2 linked regions of the Arabidopsis thaliana genome follow. The protein of the gene in region 2 interacts with the protein of the main gene of each other region in a pairwise test. Each region holds a gene or a part of one and is shown on either strand. Other genes may lie near its edges.

What was found. Proteins that work in one complex are often made in the same cells at the same time.
Region 1: the proteins of HB20 (region 2) and NF-YB7 interact in binary tests that used the Arabidopsis thaliana proteins (3 or more experiments, as listed by UniProt).

Annotation. Positions count from the first base shown.
Region 1 is NC_003071.7:5,654,874-5,658,371, forward strand, and holds NF-YB7 (nuclear factor Y, subunit B7), read right to left. Parts: upstream 1,646-3,498; 5' UTR 1,617-1,645; coding exon 969-1,616; 3' UTR 518-968; downstream 1-517. Other genes in the region: NAD-ME1 (NAD-dependent malic enzyme 1), read left to right, coding at 156-230.
Region 2 is NC_003074.8:71,351-76,096, reverse strand, and holds HB20 (homeobox protein 20), read right to left. Parts: upstream 2,791-4,746; 5' UTR 2,499-2,790; coding exon 2,360-2,498; intron 2,284-2,359; coding exon 1,898-2,283; intron 1,138-1,897; coding exon 802-1,137; 3' UTR 558-801; downstream 1-557. Other genes in the region: AT3G01210 (RNA-binding (RRM/RBD/RNP motifs) family protein), read right to left, coding at 2,938-3,396, 3,471-3,569, 3,640-3,715, 3,800-3,915. UniProt on the Arabidopsis thaliana protein: Probable transcription factor.

The DNA.
Region 1 (3,498 bases), on a different chromosome or scaffold from region 2:
TAAAATCGTATTCTACGAAGAATGTCGATCGGGTTTGATTATATGTAAAGAACAGAAGAGTGTTTACCTGATTTCTCACTTAGAGAAAATAAAGACTAAACCAGAAACTAAGCCTAAATGTTAGTTATGTTGACGCGGTCTTGTGTATTCCGCAGGAGGGGCTGATGGAGTATGTGGAAAACAACATGTGGAATCCAGAGTACCCGACTTTGGTCTACAAGGATGACTAAGTTTGGTTCCCAAAATGAATAAGTCTACTTTCTCTTATTTATATGTAAAAATTTATAATTGGGGTTGCTTTATACCCAATCAAATTCATAGCTACTGCTTTCTCTTGTTCTTATGTAAAAAAAAAAAAAATATATAATTGGGTTGTTTGTTATCCAATCAGATTCATAGCTTCCACTTTCTCTTATTTATATGTAAAAAAGAAGTTATATTCAATCAGATTCATAGCAGCAACATTTTACATACATCGTATTAGAAATGCATTTACTTTTATAACTTATAGTTTCAGGTCAAGATACTAAGAGTAGTGAGTGAGGAACAATTTGAAGTTCTTTAATTCAAGCAATCATCTTTATCAATCATAACATGAGTAAATGAATGAGAAACAATACACCATTCTCTTCCAATTAAGCTATTCTCTACTGGAAACCTTATAAGCTAGACCACTAACTCTCAAACCGTAGGTGGTAAGTATTCTAATCCAATTAGCAGCATGGAATTAGTTTCTACTGTTGTAAATCATGAGAGATTGCTATATTTGCTCGAGACGAACTAATCCGGAAAATATATGAAGACGAATTTCTGTTACACAAAACCATGGGTATACTGAAAATATCAAAATGTACGTGTCTAGTGTCTATATAGCAACAAATATATATAAGCATCAAGATGTACTCACAAAAGGTAAAGAAAAGCATATAATATGTGAAAAGAAAGAAGAAAAAAAGCAAATGTCTCTCTCACCAGTGAATTGAATCAATGTTATTATCATGCTGCTGCGGGAACTGTTTCTGCAATGATTTAGGAGAGAAAGCAATATTGGGAAAAGGTTGATGATCCACTGGTAGGAATGGAGAAGGATGATGATGAGAGATGTAACTAGTACATGACATGTTGTTATTGTTTTGGTCTTGTTCTTGAAACTGATAATTATGATGATTCTGTTGTTGAATCTGCTGTTGTTGTTGTCTTTGTTGTTGTTGTTTTGGGCTGTTAACTTTCTCTCCTTCGGTGTCTCTATATTTGCAGAGGTAGACCTTTAATGGAGCCACGTAGTCTTCGAAACCGAGAGTTGTGATAGCCCAAATGATATCATCTCCATTGATGGTCTTCCTCTTTTCTCTTTGACACTTGTCAGAAGCTTCACCAGTGACGAAACTAATGAACTCCGAGACACATTCTTGAACGGTTTCTTTAGCGTCTTTTGAGATCTTACCGTTACCGGGAAGAACTTTTTTCATGATCCTTCCGACATTCGCAATGGGAAGAAACCGGTCTTGTTCTTTGTTGTTGTTGTTGTTGTTGTTGGTCTTTGAAGAAGGGCTTCCTGGATTTGTTTCAGCTACTCCAGGAGACCCATGATCTTCTTCTGGGCTCTCCTCAGTCATATCTCTATCTCTTTGTTTTTTTTTGTGATTGATGTTAACCACATGTGATCAATCTGATTTTATGGTTAAGCTTAGTGCATGAAACTAGGCAACTTTTCTATTTATGGATACCTTGCCAACCAAATTTGGAACTCCATGCGACTCGCTCCTTTTTTTTTTTTTTTTTTTTTTTCTTTGTTATTTGCCAGATAATAAAGAAAAGTGTAAGAAAATAGCAATCATGTAACATATTGTCATCAAATAGTGTTTTCAATTTATTATTTTCCGTAGTATGTTTATTTAGTATGTAGACAACTATAAATTATCATGTCTCCATAATGCTTTGATTTATTGTATTATAGTAATTTCCTAAACTCTAGCCTGGTAAATATATATGGTGGTTATTTATCCGAGAATATTACACGTAAAGGCACTATTTTGAAACTTTGGCCACAAATAGGCACTTTAAAAGCATTAGTCACTTTAACTCAGTAGAATTACCCCTTTACCCTGAAATCGTTAGTTTAACAAAACCTAACAAATTTAGCCGGTTTTCGGTTTAATTTTTTAATCTCAATCTCTAAACTAAAACCAATTTGTGAGAAACCTCTTTTTCTCACCCAATCCTTCACGACGATTTTACAGTTTCATTTATCTGGGCAGTTAAAATCATCACAACGACGATAACATCATCTCGACTCCGGCGATCATCCCAACGAGTTTTCTACCGGCAAAGTCATTTCCTCGTCCCTCTCCCGTCGTTATCGTCAACAAAGCTTTCAATCGGCCGACATTAATTCGTCCTCTCCCGTCGTCGTCGTCAACACTTGTTCTCCCGTCATGGTCTTCATTTTCTTGTCTCTCAATCGATTCGTCGTCTCCGGCGTGTGCTAGTAACTTCTACTCGGTCCTCAAATGCAAGGTATTAATCTTCTCCAATCATTTTATTTGCTCTAATTATTCAACCGTGTGCTAATTTTATTTATAATATCCAACATTGTGAAGAGCTAATAGGTGAAGACATGAATGCTACGTTAGGTGATATTTCAAAAATGTTAATCACAAGACCTTATCTTCTTACCACAGACTTCGGCTTGCTTATCTCCTCATTGTTGACGGTGTCCTCGTATCCTCAAACCAACCTATTACGTCTACATTAAAATATGTAGAGATGTTGGCAGATTTGGAGAAGTTCCTTAACTGACTGAGGTCTACGTAACTGACTGTCTATACACATGTGGATAAATGGTCAAAGAAACATGGATAATATACTTTGGATTGACGTTTATTGTTCATGTATAAACTTATGTATTAGTATGAAACTATCATGTGAGTCTTTAGATGATCATGGACTGGACTGCTTGGACAATCATTAATGGACAAATATGTCTTTGATTTGCTGCGAATATGTTTATAGCTCGATAAAATTGTATCAACATGTCTATATACATGTGGATAAATGGTCAAAGAAACATGGATAATGTACTTTGGATTGATGTTTATTTGTAAATCTTAATATAAATGTCATCCAGTCATAGTGAATTATCCAATCAGACAAACGAATTAATACAGTTATGTTGTGGATGGATTCATATGGATACATTAACAATTATCTTTATCTTTCAACATGAAAAGCGTTTGATATGGATACATTAACCATATCGATAATCTTATCTCTATATTGCTGTTGAATGTTTTAGTGGTTTGTATCATATTATTTGTTTGTTCCATCCATAACAACATTTTTTCAAGTGCATCTAACATTTGATATCAGTTAACAATGCGAAGAAAAATAAATAATTTTGTGTATTTTGAACTATTGTTTATTTGGTAAATCATTCTAGCTAATTATGTTTACAAATACGTTAAAACTTAATATAAATGTCATCCAGTGATAATGAAT
Region 2 (4,746 bases):
CAAAATTACTACCATTGAATAGATTCATTTCACTCAAAACAATTTTGAACCAACAAAGAATAGATATGTCTATGTAGATGAAGTGAACGTGAATACTGTATTTGGTATTACATGCAACTACGTGACGCATGGCATAGTTTTTTTTTTTTTTTATAATAAAAAGTTAATGGTTCCATTAATCCATTAAGATTTAAATTGCAACTTGCAAAGATAAAATCATAAAATATAAAATATATATTAAAATAATCTTTGCATATAATATTAGTCATGGATCATGTTATGTCAAAGACAGAGCTGGAATCCCACTCGAAGTCACATGCATATGAATCTTTCTCACTTTTATATCCTTACTTTCTTAATAAATTTGTACCAACCCATCATATATATATAAAATTGGACATATAAGTTGAGAAAAATCATGATTTTTAATCTCACTCAATTGGTTAGAGGAGAGTTTTGTTCGGGAAGTAAAAGAGAGTGGTTATGCTTTTTTGAACCATTTACATATATTGTAAACTGTGATCAATCCACATACATCTAACAATGTTACGGCCGAATGCAAAGAACTTTATGATTTTTATTAAATTAAAGCAACAACAAATTTTCGCACTATACACCAATGCTCTACAAACCCAAAGAAAACAAAATGCTCCATTAATTTAAATTGAAATGAGTAGCAATAACATAATTCCAAAGAGAAGAATTGTGTCTTGATCTTCTCCTGATGATATGATGATGATGATTATGATCATTTGTCTTGATGCGTGCTGATGACTTTTTTTTGAGCTTTAGAATCATGAATCAGTTGAACTGGTGGTGGTGGTGGTTGTGGTTTGGGTCAGACCATGCCCAGTAACCAGCCGGCGTCGTTTCATCAATGCCATTAAACATGTTACAAAGGCTTTCTTCTTGAACTATTTCATGATTCTGATGATGATCATCATCATGTGCAGATGATCGAATCGATGAAGGGAATAGGTCTTTGATCGTGTTCACATGTGTTGTAATGGTCTCTCTAGGCATCTCCAGATTGATGTCTGAACTATTCTCTGTGCTTCCGTTGTTGCTCCATGAAGCTTCTGCTTCTCTCTTTACTATGTTTCCTTCATTACATTCTTTGTTCTTTAAAGCCATTACCTTTAACCATCATCACACACAATTCAAATGTTAAGTTTTAGAAATTCAGATATTAAAAATTATCATTTCTATATATCATTAAAATAAACATAATTATATATAATTTAAATTAACAAAATATTTTTAAAATGACTAATAACTTAAAATAGATAAACTGTAAGACTATATATGTAAATTATATATTTACATATACTTAGCTTAAGTAATTTTTGAAAATCTTGTAACTATTACATTTCAATAAGTAGTAAAATCATTTAAAACACACAAAAATGATATGATATAAAAATCAGTATTCTTGTCAAATTTGGTTAGCGCACACATGCCATTACTTGATAGTCATATGGGAATGTATTAATTAAATTGTAAATATTGATCAAGAATCCTTTTTATTAATAAACAAAACACCTACTGTCTTTTGACAAACATCTTATAGTGTTGGATCATGTGCCTAACAATAATCTATTGCATTTCGTATTAAACGACTTTAATACACACAAGATACATACATATATATATATATATACACTGATATATATACACATATATATATACTACATAAATAGTACCAATCCAAGCCAATAATCAGAAAAATATTTGTAGTCCTAGATTTATTTTACGTTGGTTATTACTATTAGTGCAAAACCAAAAATAAAAAAACCAAAGAAAAAAACAAACACAATCAAATTAGAAATGAAAGTTGAATTAAACACCTTATTTACTATATAAACACACATATATACTTACTTATATAGATACATACCTCAGCAAGGAGTTTCTTGTTATAGGCAAGTAGAGAAGCATTGTCGGATTTAAGAGACTCAAACTGTTTCTTGAGTGAATCATAATCTCTCTCGAGCTGTCTAGTCTTCCACCTAGCTCTCCTGTTTTGAAACCAAATCGCGATCTGTCTTGGTTGCATCCCTAATGCTTTAGCTAGTTGTATCTTCCTCTCTGGCTCCAGCTTGTTACCAAGCTCAAAGCTCTTCTCTAATGCCTTAACTTGCTCTAATTGCAGCCTCTTCTTCTTCTCTCCCAGCATAGTATGTGCCCCATCGTCTGATAGATTCTCCTCATCCAAGGTTTGATTATGATCTTCTTGCACGTTCATTAAAGACATAGATCTGTTCATCATGTAGTTTCCTCCTCCTATATACACCAACAGAATTCATGACTCAAATCTATTTATGTGGAGAAATAGTGAGAGAAAGAGAGAGTATAGTACCATTGAAGAGATGAGGAGGACAAGAAGGGAGCTGATCTTGACTGTTGTCTTCATGAAGTTGTTGGAACATAAAACCATGTTGAGGAAACGCCATCTCTAATCTCAATCCAGCTTCTGTTGTTGGATCAAACACATACATGTATGTATTCCACCAAAAACCTATCAGTGATTAATGGATTGTGAAATCAGTATAGTGATGATCAAATATACTTTGTTGTTTGCAGATTTGGAAATCACTATCAAATGAGTTAGGTGTTTCTTGTGGATCTCATCAACCTCTCATATAAGAGAAAGAGAGAGAAAGAATGAGGAAAGGATCAAGCTAGGGAGGTTTCTAGGACCCATCCTTAATATTTTAAAAGCTTTAGGCTTATTATTATATTTCATATATATTCTCCAGTTCATGTAATAAAGTTATTTTATAGTTTCTGCCTCAAATATTTTCGATCATGTAACGTTACTAATCATATCTTCATGATGGTTTTTTTTTTCTTTTTCTTTTCACAACACCTTTTATGCTTTAAAACCTCACATATCATTTATTTATGTTTTCCAAGGAAGCCCAAAGACTTTTTACATCAATTGCTTCCTCCTCCACCGATATGGGCCGCTGCTTTTGCAGCCCGGCCCAAAGCATCTGAGAACCATAAAGCCCCATTAGCAAAGTAACGACTGTTGACCACACTAGTCGCTGCAGCTGCAGCCACTTTCCCTGTAATGGTGGCTGCGGCTACAGCAGCTGTGCCCGTGACAAGAACCGCGGATTTAGTGAAATCCGAGAAATGATACTTCTCGTCCGCTGATCTCACGAGTTCCATACTCGACTGAATGTTCTGTGTGAGGCCAAGGTAATGGCTGATCTCTGCCAATTTGGTCGCTACCAAGCTTGAAAATCTCTGAGACTCATCCAAAGCTTTGGCTTTACCAATCGCGTCTTTGCTTAAAACGTAGCCTTTAGCTAACATCGTCTGCACAACTTGTTGAGCCACGGTTATGGCCTCTCCAGGCGATGAAGCAAACGCGTCTGAACGAGTCACCTACAAAGAAACATTTTCGAGAATCTTTGGCTTATAACCTAAAGTAACCTAGTAAGTATTGTTTTTAATGTTACCGTAACACTATAGTCTTCTTCTTGTCTGAGATTGTTAGATTCATGTAAATAGACACCGTAGACCGATATCCAAACGGTTTGATCAACGATCGTAGCTCCCTGAAGATCAACATTAAAATCAATGCCAAGAAGATCATACTGGAAATTTCTAGCTAATTAAGGGACTTACGCTAAGTAACACAGCCATATCCAGAGCATACGCATCTCTGAAGGTTACATAAGCCGTTAATGCATCCCCTTGGCACCTGAAATCCATGGAGACATGAAACAAAATATAAACAGATTCAAGAATGATTAATAATTTACTGAACAATGAACGTTGTTGTTACCCGGTGATTTCAACGAGCTCGACGATACCACAGTGAGAGAAGAACCTATGAACATCTTTCTCAGTGGCTTGAGGAGACAAGTTGGTGACTTGAGCAACGTAACCACAAGGATACATTATATTGTTCTGTTTTCTCACACGAACCTAGATACCTAAATCAAAGAACAAACATAAACAAGATTCTTGAATCACATTCCGTGAACCGTTGAGCGATTTTCTAGAGATTTATACAGCAAGAAATCTACAAAGCTACGATTACTATAATGATTCAAATAAAAAAAATAAAAAAGGTGTCCAGGCCAAATAGTTAGCGGAGAGGGAAGAAAGAAGAAGTAAGAACCCTAGATTATAATTGAATGAGATAAGAGATGAAAGTAACAGTAACAAAGATAATCAATGAGATATGTATCAACCAACCACACAATCGGAAACTTCGAGAAGCAGGGCACGAAAAAAAACTGATAGTGTATGTTCTGTTTTAGATTACCCGATTAAGGCACAATAGAACAGGACGTCACAGGATTGAAGCCAAGTATCGAAAGAGACGGAGAGAAAAGAAGACAAGATTCGTGTGATTGTGAGAGAGAAAGAGGATTCTTCAAATTTAAACAAAAAAAGAAAGAAGAGGAATGTTAACATTTAAACCAAAAAAGAAAGAAGAGGAATGTTCACATAATTTTTTTTCTTTTGTCGGCTCGATCGATATCGATGTTGTGGTCGACGATACGCGTCAAACGTAAGCTCTAGCGATGCGCGTGTTATTATTGTTTCCACGAGTCTTTTGGGCACTTTTTACTTAGGCTTTTTAAAGCCCAAATATCTGTTTTCAAGCCCAAGTAATTAGTGAGGACATTTTCGTCAATTTTTCATCGGAACGCAATTTAGCGGTTAACGCCTTAACCGTCGCTCAGAAAAAAAAAAAAAAAAAAGTTATCATAAACTTTGGCG